Linked DNA regions of Caenorhabditis elegans. The protein of the gene in region 1 purifies or fractionates together with the protein of each later gene. This does not show direct contact. Each region holds a gene or a part of one and is shown on either strand. Other genes may lie near its edges. The genes, in order: vhp-1 and pmk-3.

What was found.
Region 2: the proteins of vhp-1 (region 1) and pmk-3 purify together in Caenorhabditis elegans (affinity purification with western blotting, with the first as the bait; one study listed by BioGRID). This does not show direct contact.

The regions. Positions count from the first base shown.
Region 1 is NC_003280.10:5,321,327-5,326,434, forward strand, and holds the start of vhp-1 (protein-tyrosine-phosphatase), read left to right. Parts: upstream 1-1,949; coding exon 1,950-1,958; intron 1,959-5,108. UniProt on the Caenorhabditis elegans protein: Acts preferentially on the c-Jun N-terminal kinase (JNK) and p38 MAPKs. Plays an important role in the heavy metal stress response and in axon regeneration by negatively regulating the kgb-1 (JNK-like) and the pmk-1 (p38-type) MAPK signaling pathways.
Region 2 is NC_003282.8:8,137,174-8,143,668, forward strand, and holds pmk-3 (Mitogen-activated protein kinase pmk-3), read left to right. Parts: upstream 1-2,045; 5' UTR 2,046-2,129; intron 2,130-3,072; coding exon 3,073-3,324; intron 3,325-3,807; coding exon 3,808-3,953; intron 3,954-4,003; coding exon 4,004-4,088; intron 4,089-4,386; coding exon 4,387-4,496; intron 4,497-4,541; coding exon 4,542-4,689; intron 4,690-4,862; coding exon 4,863-5,469; intron 5,470-5,550; coding exon 5,551-5,627; 3' UTR 5,628-5,978; downstream 5,979-6,495. Other genes in the region: islo-1 (Interactor with SLO-1), read left to right, coding at 188-392, 599-914, 1,269-1,399, 1,451-1,751; Mitogen-activated protein kinase pmk-2, read left to right, coding at 6,338-6,442. UniProt on the Caenorhabditis elegans protein: Responds to activation by environmental stress and pro-inflammatory cytokines by phosphorylating downstream targets. Involved in axon regeneration after injury, probably downstream of dlk-1 and mkk-4 and upstream of mak-2. May phosphorylate mak-2.

The DNA.
Region 1 (5,108 bases):
AATCATCTTCATAATAGTTTTTCTGTCATAGATTTGGCTCCGCGTTTGTAGTGAGCTCAAAAATTTCATTGCGTTCGGATGCAGATTTATACTCCGAGTCAGTTGGACTCCGAGTCAGTTGTAGTTAATTTTTACAACGATTTTGATATTTTAAGAATATCTGAGAAAGTAAACCTAGTTTATTTAGATTTAAATGTTTAGTGTAAATGTTTTCTGCCAATTCTGAATCATCGGAGCGATCTAAACAGGATTCTAGAATTCCAATGTTTTCGAAACTTTTAGTTTTAATATAAATCTATTTCTGTTCAAACTTCTCTTTCAAATCTTCGTGTTTTCTACACCATTTCAAATTCATTCAAATTGTAATAGTGATTGTCTGATAGTGGGGGGATCATTCCATTTTCCTCCAATCGTCACTTTTTGCTTGTGGTTTCGTTGATTTTTGATGGCATATGATAAGAGATTGTCTGTTTGACCACATGCATTGCGAAATCCACAGTGCTTTTGGGCTGATTTTTTACGACGGTGGTGGTGGTGAAAAGATCCTGGATGCAAACAGGCACAGAAATTTGTGAACAGAGAGAGAAAGAGTAAGAGACGGTCATACAACAAACTATACACAAAAATAGTGAGTGATCAGCCGGTTCGACGCGCACTCGTAAGAGGGTACCTATGAATTATAAAGAGAACTATGAAAGAGAGAGAGAGAGAGAGAGAGAGAGAGAGAGAGAGAGAGAGAGAGAGAGGGGGGGGGGGGGGTACAGAGAAAGGGAGACAAAAGAGACCGTAACGGCGCGGCCGGTTCTCCACACCAGCAGCAGCAATCTCTCCTGGCGCTCTCCACTGTTTTGGGTACTGTTTTGAGGTCGATTTGTCTACACCTCTTATTGGTCAATACTATATTTGTATCTCTACAACTCTGCGCCTCTCCTCTCTGGTGTCCCTATGACGCAGGCAATTGTGAAGAAGTGAGATGAACAACGACTTTCAAAATAACATACCCTTCATTTTTAATACACATTAATTATTGTGATCTCTAGATTTATTAGACCTATAGGCTTTTTTTGGCAAAATTTTAGAAATTTTCCTTGTTGGGATCTGAACAGTAACAAGGATCTTGTAAACCAGTTCTACCAGGGAATTAACTTAAAATTTATAATTACAATTTTGCATTCAGGCAAGTTCGGTTTTGTTAAAGTCACCAATCATGAATTGTATGAAAACTAGCTTATAAAAACTGCATAAGAACATTGCAATCGCGAAAAGCAAGGAATCTTAATCTTAAAAACCCTAGCTATTCAACTATCGCAAGCCTATTTTTTGGTATTGCTCCAAGAGCTTAGATCTAAGTTGTCAGAGGAGCACGAAGGTGCACGACTAATAGGGAGAATACAGTACTTTCCAAAAATGTCTGGATTTAATTTTTGAACCATCTTCTTTCCTTGTAATCTACTTATCTTGTTCTATAGATGTCCAATCCCAAAACTCTCTGGATCAATCTGTTTTCTTTTCGACCTGTTTTTCAATATTTCTTCTTCTAATGTCCTATTGTACATACAAAAACCAACAACGTCTTTTCTGTTGACAAGTGCACGTCATTGCCCCCTCTTCTATCTTTTTTTCAATTTTCTCTCCTACTTTTTTGTGTCGTTTCACTTTCCCATCGTTATATTCTTACAGGTTACCTCCCCCTAATTCAGAATGGACGTACCGTCTGGGTCTTTGCTCTAAAGAAGGAGATTAGTATCTCCTTTTTGGTTCTGTAATTGAAATACAGTTATTGACAAAAAAAAAGCGCCCCAAACGATCCTCAACACTTGGAATCAATTGCAACCTGTGACAAGTTGGATTAACGTCCGAAAATACTTTTTTTCTGAAAATTAAAACAACAAAAGTTCAAGCTGGAGTCGTCAAAGCTCACGGCCGATCAGTTGAGCAAAACTGAAAAAATGCTCAAGGTGAGCTTTATTATTTTATTATTTTGAAACGGTAAATTTATAAATTAGGAATTTACAAAGTGTTCTTAAAGATATTTTAACAGCTATTGTGATGAAGTTATTTTTTTAATTGATTTTAATTTTTAATCTAGCCACTATTTTTTAATTTCACCGATTGCACTCTTTTTGGGATCAATCAGCAAGAAACTTACATTGGATCTTCAAAATGGGTAAAAATGTGTAGTTTTTTGGCGATGAGGCTCCACAACTAGGAAAAATGTATAACTGTAAATGTCATTAATCTTCATATTTTCAATCTATTTTCTTCATTTTCCGAACTGTATTTATTTAATCTAACTAGTAAACTATATTTTGTTTTCGTATCAATGAATTTTTCCTTGTAACTACAATTTAGTTTTAAATTCCGTAAAGGTTACTGTATAAGGTTATGACCAGTTTTTGCTCTTATTCAAATGTCGTCAAGCGAAATGATAACGGAACACCTCATAAAAACAAATAATGACGTTTTTCTTGAAGACTCTATAAAAGTCAGTGCTCCAAAAAACACTGCACTCCTCTGATTCACTGTTTAAATGATTTTTGCAACTTTGCACATTGTACCCAGTAGGTACTTGATGAATAACCCCAAATGTAAACATGATTTTTCAATTGATTAAGACTTTTTAAGTGTATTCTATAAGTTATAATATCAGAGAACAGATGATCAATTCCATAGTGTCTCTTATCAGCTGCGTGTTTTCTGCCGAGCTCTGGAAAATGTCAGTGATAAGGGAGAAAGGTATGAGTCGCTGACCGGTGCAAACACATGAACTTCAAAATCATATTTTGATGTCATTTAAGGAATCTAATTATTATAAGGAAAAGTGTGAAAAATGAAAATGACTCAGAAGTTAGAAAGAGGTTCGAGATTATGAAAGCTTCATTACTACCAAAAACATTAGTATGATAATTTTTAAAAAATAATAAGCTAGAAAAACAACACCAATTATCTTTCAGAAATTCAATAATAGCCGTTTTGTACATTTTACACCCAATTTCCTAAAATTTCCGAAAAATTGCGAATTGGTAAAACTTTCAGAAAATTTTTGTATCATAATTTTGAAAATCAAACAAAAAATTGTTCTCGAGTTTCATGTTTTAATTGAGTTCTAAAAACTGATATCTGAACATTCTAGAAGCTGGAACCTGTAAAATTGCTCTATAGCTCTGGAAACGTTTTTTTTGCTGTTAATTTGGCCATCTACCAACTGAAAATTTTTTAAAGTTTAAAAACTATTGGAGTTTTTAATTTAATATGATATTTGATAATGTTGGACTATTATTTGAGTATTCACATATATTTTTTCACTGCCGATGTACCTTTAAATCAATTAATTTAATTTGTTCCCATTTTGAATCTTTGCTTTCCATTCTGTACCCTTTTCCCCAAAATATTTATGAAACAATTTGTTCTTTCCTTATCTTCATTTGTTTATGACCTATTTCAAAGTTCAAAGGTTCTGTAAACATCGGGAATTTGCAATTTTTCCTAAATATTGTGTTTTTCTACAACAAAAGTGACGTTACACACATCATTCATTACCCCTTTTTTGTAGAAAACAGGTTTTTAGTTCTCTTGCTAAATAGAAAGGAAACTATTTTTTCGAAAGAAACAATGACGTGATTGAAAGTCTTGCAAAAGTGTAATCTGAATTTTAAAAGTGGGTTTTTTATTTTGAAAAACTGTTTTCAAAAATATAAATATGGGAAATATGAAATCATAATATTATCGGATTTTTTTAAATTTTAAATATTATTTTCAAATTGTTTTTCAGAAATTATTTTTTCAAATTTGTTCCATTTATAATTCGAACGAACTTTTCAATTCACTCCCCAACAGAGATCCATCTGTCGACTTTTTAACTTGTTTTTCTCTTTTTTTGTCCAATGTTTTTACGAGTAAAAAACTGTAGATCAAAAAGGGTGAAATGTGAATGTTTATGAATGTGGAAAGTTATAAATAGTGAATACGAATGGAATTTTTGTGTGAGAGAGATGAAAAAAATTGTTGATTTTAGAGTGGAATCGAGCAAATATATACAATCAGTCGATGCTCTCTGTTGTCGATCCATGCGTTCTCATTTTTGCCATTTTTCCTTGTCGGTGGTTTTTATTTTAGAACAAAGCAACTCTTTTCCTGGCCAAAAATTGTTGACTTTAATTAATTTAAGGTTATCTAGGGGTGTAAAAACATTCTGAAGGTTTTTTAGGTTTTTTGTTGTAAAAACTTTTTTACCCAGCTCGATCAAATAATTTTCCGTTTAAAAAATTTAAGTAAATTTTTAAATATTTTATTTAGCTGAAACAGTGGTCTGAGAATTTTTCAGATCTACTTTGCCATGACTATCTGCTGCCAAAAGCAGGTAAGCTTTTTCTGCCTTCATGGAAGCTTGAAATGTTTATTAAAATTCAAACGCTGTTTAAATTTAAATTGTTTGAATATGAATGTTTCAAAATTCTCAGTTAAAAACCTTCTCCATTCTAATTTTTTGTTCCGAATAGCCTACCTGCAATATTTCGGTGTGTCAAACTTTTGTTAAGGCAGTAGAAATTAGTTTCCAATTCATACGTATACTATTTTAGCGCTTGAGTTTTTGGTTTTGGAAATGTTATGTATTATGATGTTTTGATGGCTTCTTAATTTTTAAAAAATTGAGAAAAATTAAGAGATGCTTGACAATTGTCAAATTGTAAATTCAAGAATCAAAAAAATTGCCGTATTTTCTCTCATTCACTAGGTTTTTTTCGACTAATTTTGTAGAAAATTCTTAATTCTCTAGAGCTATTTCATTATACATGTGTGGTCTAAAACTGTTTAGAATTTTCGAAATATCCAATTCGCCGAATGTTTCGAAAATTTCGCAATAAAAGGGCACTGACAGCTGGAGGGTCCAATTTCAATACAGATGGCCGAGGTCTTCAGAAGGAGAAAAAAGATTCAAGGAATGGATTAGTGTTCGTTCATAGTGTCTAGAGAAGCACACGACGAGAAGGAAAAACCACGTCACGTTCACCCATTTCTTCTCCCTGTTTTCTGTTTCCTCTTCACTTTGAACGCTTTGGTTTGTGTCACTAATTTTGCCAGCGTTCTCTGAATCTCTCGATCCATTT
Region 2 (6,495 bases), on another chromosome or scaffold:
ATCGATACCAGCTACAGTAATTATAACCATCAAAGCAATACTGAGAAGTAGTAATTTAAATTGACTTTATGGGTCTCACCACGATGTACTGAATGTAGCACAGAATATAGAGTTGTTGTATTAAATATAAGGGGTTTTCATGTCAATTTGATTCTAAAAACTCATAAATATTTTCGAAATATTAAAGACAAGCTTCACGTAACTGCAAAGGATAAGAAAGACGAAATGGTTCAAGCTGGTGCAAGTGAGATTGATCCTCAACAATGGACTGGAAATCAAAGAGTTCTTCATTTTGGACCAATGGCTCAACGTGATCCATATTTCTATTATTATCCAAAAGGATGGGATATATTGTATCCAGCAACATTTGGATTTTTTCCATATAGAACATCGTTAGTTTTTTGATAATTGAAACTGTAAGCTGGAAATATGAGGGTTGAATAGCTCAACTAAATAACTCGTAGATTATAATTTAATGGAGTATGTCCTAATACATCATATTCAACGCGAAAATTCAACAGAGACGCAGAAAATATACATCAAGTTACTTTATCAAAAATTTAAAAAAAAACCCTGAAAAAAGCATTATTTTTTAAAGAAAATTTCGTGGCTCGTCATCATTGATTTGTTGTACAGCATTCGGCGTTTTTCTCCTAATTGGAGGACTACTAATGTCACTTCTTGGATATAAATACCTTTATACTTCACCATTCTGGACTTGGCCATACGAACAAAGAATACGACCACCACCAATTCAAATTGCGGGTCCTATTTTATTTGGACTCGGATGTTCGTTTTTGATAATTTCATTAATCTACTTTTTATGCACAACAAAGCTCTGTGATCTCTCGTTACACCACACAAAGAAGCACAATGATCCTGCTAGGCTTACGACTATTACAACACATTATGTGGTAAGTCTTTTTGATTAATTGAAAATTCAAATTCAATTAGAAACCCACATGTCCTTGTAAAAGTTGCGACTACACCTTTGAAAATTTCATGAAAGTAATATAAACAATTAAAGCTAACAAATTAACGTCTAAACAAACTCAAAATGATCGTACCATAATTTAAAAAAAACTATTAAAACATTTTAGATTTCTGAAAATGGCATAGTTTTGGTAAATTGCCAAATTAACCGAAACAGCAATGTGTTTGAAACCTTACAAGGCTTAGATACAGTTCACTAGAACGAAGAATGTAGGTAATAATGCGTATCAATTCAAAATCAAAATGTACCCATTTTAGTTGTTACACGTTTACAGCCGCTACCTCCGATCTTTGAGAAAGATCCATATCAACCTCTACCTCCACCTGCGTACCCAGTTCTTGAGAATCGACACGCAATGTCTAATGTAGTTAAGCCACACGATGAAAAGAAACTGTATCCACCAGTGTAAGAACTTCATTCAAACCGGAACAAGATTCTGTAAATCTATAATTTCAGAATTCCTGGATGTTCCACACTTTCCCTTCATAGACGATCTCCGAATAACATTTTTGTAGCAAGTCCATATAATACCCTAAGAGCTACAAGCGTTGGAAGATATCAATCTGGATTCCTTGACACGAATTCAATAATGGAAAATCGGTTAGGATCAAGGCAGCCGTCAGTTGCAAGTAGAAGACAATCAAGTGAAGCTTCAAGTCAAAAAAGATCCAAATCAATGGGACCTTTACATCGAACTAACTCCAATCGAAGCAAAGGATCAGGAAGATCAAGAAGGAGAGAAAATAGTCAAATATAGACATTGTTTTATGATGTTAACCAGATTTATATTGTTTTTTTTTAATTTCAAAATTCTGTATCCACAAAGATCAACCGAAAAGGAGATGAATAATTTGTAGATATTTTAAAATATTTATCTACAATAATATTTTCCATCAACCAAATAAAAAATTCGACCTTCGCCCTTTGTATGTCTTCCTCTCGTTTCCCATTTTTCACTGCGTCTCAATCGCTGCTGACTCATATCTGATTGACCTCACTGTTTCTTCCAATTTCCTTGGTCACTGATAATTATACTTCCGTCTTTTTTCAGTTTTCTCCAGTATTTTTATCATAACATATACTCAAAATCAATCAATACAGGAACGTCTAGTCTACAACTTTATTATAATAACAGGTGAGATATTTTGTTTTTGGTAAACTTCATAATAGTGGAGCGCTGAACAAAAGACGAATTTTCTGATAATTTAAAATTGAAATGAAATATATTATTTACCCTTTATAATTAACTTTGTTTGAACCTAAATATTGCTCATATTCGAACAAACACTGTACACTTTTTTACGAAATTCAAAGAGACGCTACTCAGTAAATAAACAAGAAAATATAAAACAAACTGTAGTGCTCATCTCAATTTAACTGAGCTCACAAGTATTTCACCGATTTTATTAATTACAATTGATTGAGCACCCGAATCTTTTACATAATTTCATGGTAGTTTTGCACCTTTTTTGCATAATTCCTCTTATGGGTCTCGCCATCAGAAAAAGTTCTGAGAATTTTTTATGATCCCTCCATTCCACAATTAATGAAAAAATATTTTGAAAATTTCACAAAAATAGACAAAAACGAATAACATTTAAATCTGACTCTTTGAGACCCAATTCAAAAATATCCATGTGTCTTTAAGTACGCGTTACAAAAATTGCGAGAGAACAATTACTAACAGTTCAAATGTAAATAGATATTGTTAGTAATTGCCAAAACTATGGGAAATTCTTCTATTTAATCTTCATTGATTGAGTTGATTTTTTTGTTGATAAATTCAAAATTCCTAATATTTTCTAAAATATCGAATTTCCTAAAGTTATAGTGAATCCGAAAACCTCCAAAAGAAAACAAAGTAGTGACCATAAACAATAAAAAAATCATTGTTTCACAATTTTTACACTTCACTCCGCAAAAATATAGGTCGCTTGAGTGTTCGAGTTTACATGGCGTGTTTCGCAATAAAACTTTCATTTTGAAATCCCCGACACTCCTCTAATTTCCCCCGACAACGCTTTTCGTTATTGATTTTTTCACTTCAAGCCCTAACTTGAACCCATTTAAATTTACAGATGGCGTCAGTCCCATCGTCATCTAGTCTCCCAGTGTCGCATGTCCGTCGTCATGAAGACGTGTCAACACCAAGTGCACCACCAACCAAACGAAGTAATAATCAATCTCAACCTCCAGAAAGCTACGAACCCAACACCTGGTTGCAACAACAACGAGAGCAGGAACAACAGAAAAAGTTAGCTGCAGAGAATATTAAGAAGCAGAGTATCGAAGCAACGGGAAACAACGAGATGGTTGGGGAGGAGGAAGAGGTGAGGGAGAAAGATTTTAGATTTCGTAAGTTGACGAAAGTCAATCCGCGCGTTTTGTTGATATGCGGAGAATCATAAAAATGATAAAGGTAAAGCTTCAGTATGACTTTAATCTAAGAAATCGACCTTAATACTCTAAAAAGGATGGAAATAAAACATTCCATAATTAATTTTTTTATAATTGTCAAAGTTTCAAAACTAGCTTAATATTTGTAGAATTGACTAGAATTGACATTTTCAGAAGAATCTAACCCCGCGCACGCATAGCTCATTTTTTGAGAAGTTTTTTCTACAAAAATTGCAACACAAAATTATTGCGCCGTCTTATTTCCAAATGATAAAATTGGCACGTGTACTAGAGACCAAACCAAATAGGAAACTGGCTATGTAATGCCTCAGAAATTTAGCTTTACAGAAATAAACATTGTTGACAATATTGCAACCATAGGTATTCCAAAATCTTAATCATCATTATATTTTCAGGATATTCTCTCAAAACCATGTGGTCCACACAAACGACGATTCCAATTTGTGATGATCCGTAACATTACATTTGCAATTCCGGAAGGCTATGACGTCGAGCCAAACAGCATTGAGTATTTGGGTGGAGGCTCGTTTGGAAATGTTATGTATGTTTTTCAGTATTTGTGTGCTTTATTTGAATGATTATATTTTCCAGAAAAACAAGTGCAGTGTGCCGTGACGGGCTTCGTCGTTATGTTGCAATAAAGAAGATGCGAGAACCGTTCTTTGATCCACATCATGTAAGACAAAGATACATTTTTATTGAAGCTAGAGCATATTTTTTACAATTCAAATGAACTAATATCGTATTAAAAATTTTCGAACTTTTTCTATGTACAGTCAAGAAGTGGTGATTCAAAATTTTGGGGCAAAACCAGAATTTTAAAACTAATCTTGTTTTCTGTTTTCGTCTTTTTTTTTGTTGGAAAATTGCCAAAACTTTAGAAGAACATTTCAAAAAGCTGATATTTGGTTTTTATACCCATTTTTGAGAATATATTTGGTCGATCACATCCTTTGAACACCTTAAACTTCCAGGCTCGTCGCATCTTCCGTGAAACAAAACTTCTTCAATTAATGAGACATGACAATATCATCTGTGCTCTTGACATCTACACACCTGACGAGGAAAACGATTTTCGAGATGTGTAAGTAATTACAAAAAAGTTTTACAAACAATCTATAATTTTCAGATACGTTGTCACTGAATTTGCGGGTCGTAGTCTTTATCAGATCTTGAAGCAACAAAGAGATTATGGACGGCGCGTGCTGACCGACGAGCATATCAAATTCATCATTTATCAAATCATACGTGCACTTAAGTACATTCATTCTGCTAATGTAAGTCAATGGAGTTAGTGAACAGAACATTGCTCATTCTTTTTTTTTTAATAGAAATATCAGCATTTTAGATTAAATAAAATTTCATATAGGAGGATTAGGCACGATTAGGCCATAATTAGTCAAAAAGAACATGACTAAAACACGAAAATATATTTATTAAAATTTTTTAGATTATACATCGTGACTTGAAACCAGGAAATCTCGCGTTGACCGATGATTCTGACCTCATGATTCTCGATTTTGGACTTGCAAGATCCTTGGAAAAGAAAGATACTTCTCTAACACAATATGTACAAACAAGATGGTACCGTAGTCCAGAAGTCATTTATTGGAAGATTGATAGTTACACAAATCTGGCAGATATGTGGTCACTTGGATGTATTGCTGCAGAACTTTTAACTGGAGAACCACTGTTTCCGGGTGATGAGCCCAATGCTCAATATCAACGTATTACTCAATTATGTGGAAGTCCTGATGAAGAACTTTTGACAAAGATTGAAAATGATAACTCGTCTGCAATTAAAGCCGTAATTCAATCCTACACAACTCACAAACGTCGAAATTTCCGTGATGTATTTTCTGCTCATAATCCATCAGAAGACTTTATTGATCTACTTGAGAAGCTTTTAGTTTTGGATCCAGAGAAGAGGATTACGGTGGAAGAAGCTATTCAACATCCATATTTGGCAGAGTTTTCACTTCCAGAAGATGAACCAAGAGCTGATCATATATTTGACTTGGATGACTCTCAAGCTAGAACAAGATTCGAGTGGAGAGGTAAGGCTCAAAGATCACGTAATAGAATTCTGCACACCTGCAAATTTGAAAAACAACAAATGCAAAAATATTTTATTACAGATGCCGTCTGGAAGGAAATAATGAACTACAAAAGACTCAGCTCATCACCGTTAATCCCTGGAGAAGCAGATCGCTGATTTCATTCAATTATATTAATTGTATATAATTCCGGAAATGTATTACTTCTTTTCCCTCTCTCTTTCTCGTCTCTTTGTCGTTCAGTGATAGCAACACTTTACAGGTGATAATGATGTTTTCCATCTTCTCTTTCAAATTCTTTCAGAGTATTTATTTTCTTGCATTCTATAGCTTCTTCCTTTTATGTCTCTGTCTCCTTCTCTCTTTCTCTTTACTTCTCCATTTCTCTGAATCTCTTTGTCTCGTTTTTCTCTCATGCTTTTATCCCATCATATTTTTTTATATTCGTCATTCTTGTCATTGCACCCTTACACATACTAATTAGTTCAATAAACTTATTTTCTTTTGACAATTCGTTTTAAAAGCTTGAAGTGTTTTATAAAAAAGAGATTGGTTCTAATCCGTGTCACTCATATTTTACACGAGCTTATATGTTTAAAGTGAGATTATCTGAAAATTTCTGGAATTTTTTTAATATAAAAAGCATAGTTTGACTTGACAAAGTTAATCCTGAACTTCAGCTTAAAACGTTTATTCAATTAGCAGAAAAATTCAAACATTTAAAAAATGTGAAATAAGATTGAATTATTATTTTGGAATACCTATGTAGGCAATTGTCTGCCCTTTTTCGAAATATTAAAACTTTCGTGCAAAAATGTAAAAATTATATTTACAAATTCAATTCAAACTTTTTCTAGATGTCTTGTTGATGGGGATGTCGGCGACCATGGGCGATTCAGCCAGCATTCCCGGTGTCTTTTTTGCCGATTTTGGTCCTGCCCCGCCTGAGATTACTCCAGAAGGATATCATGAGGTATAGTTACAGAAGAAGATTTTTTATAGTGTAGTGAATATTGTCTAAATATA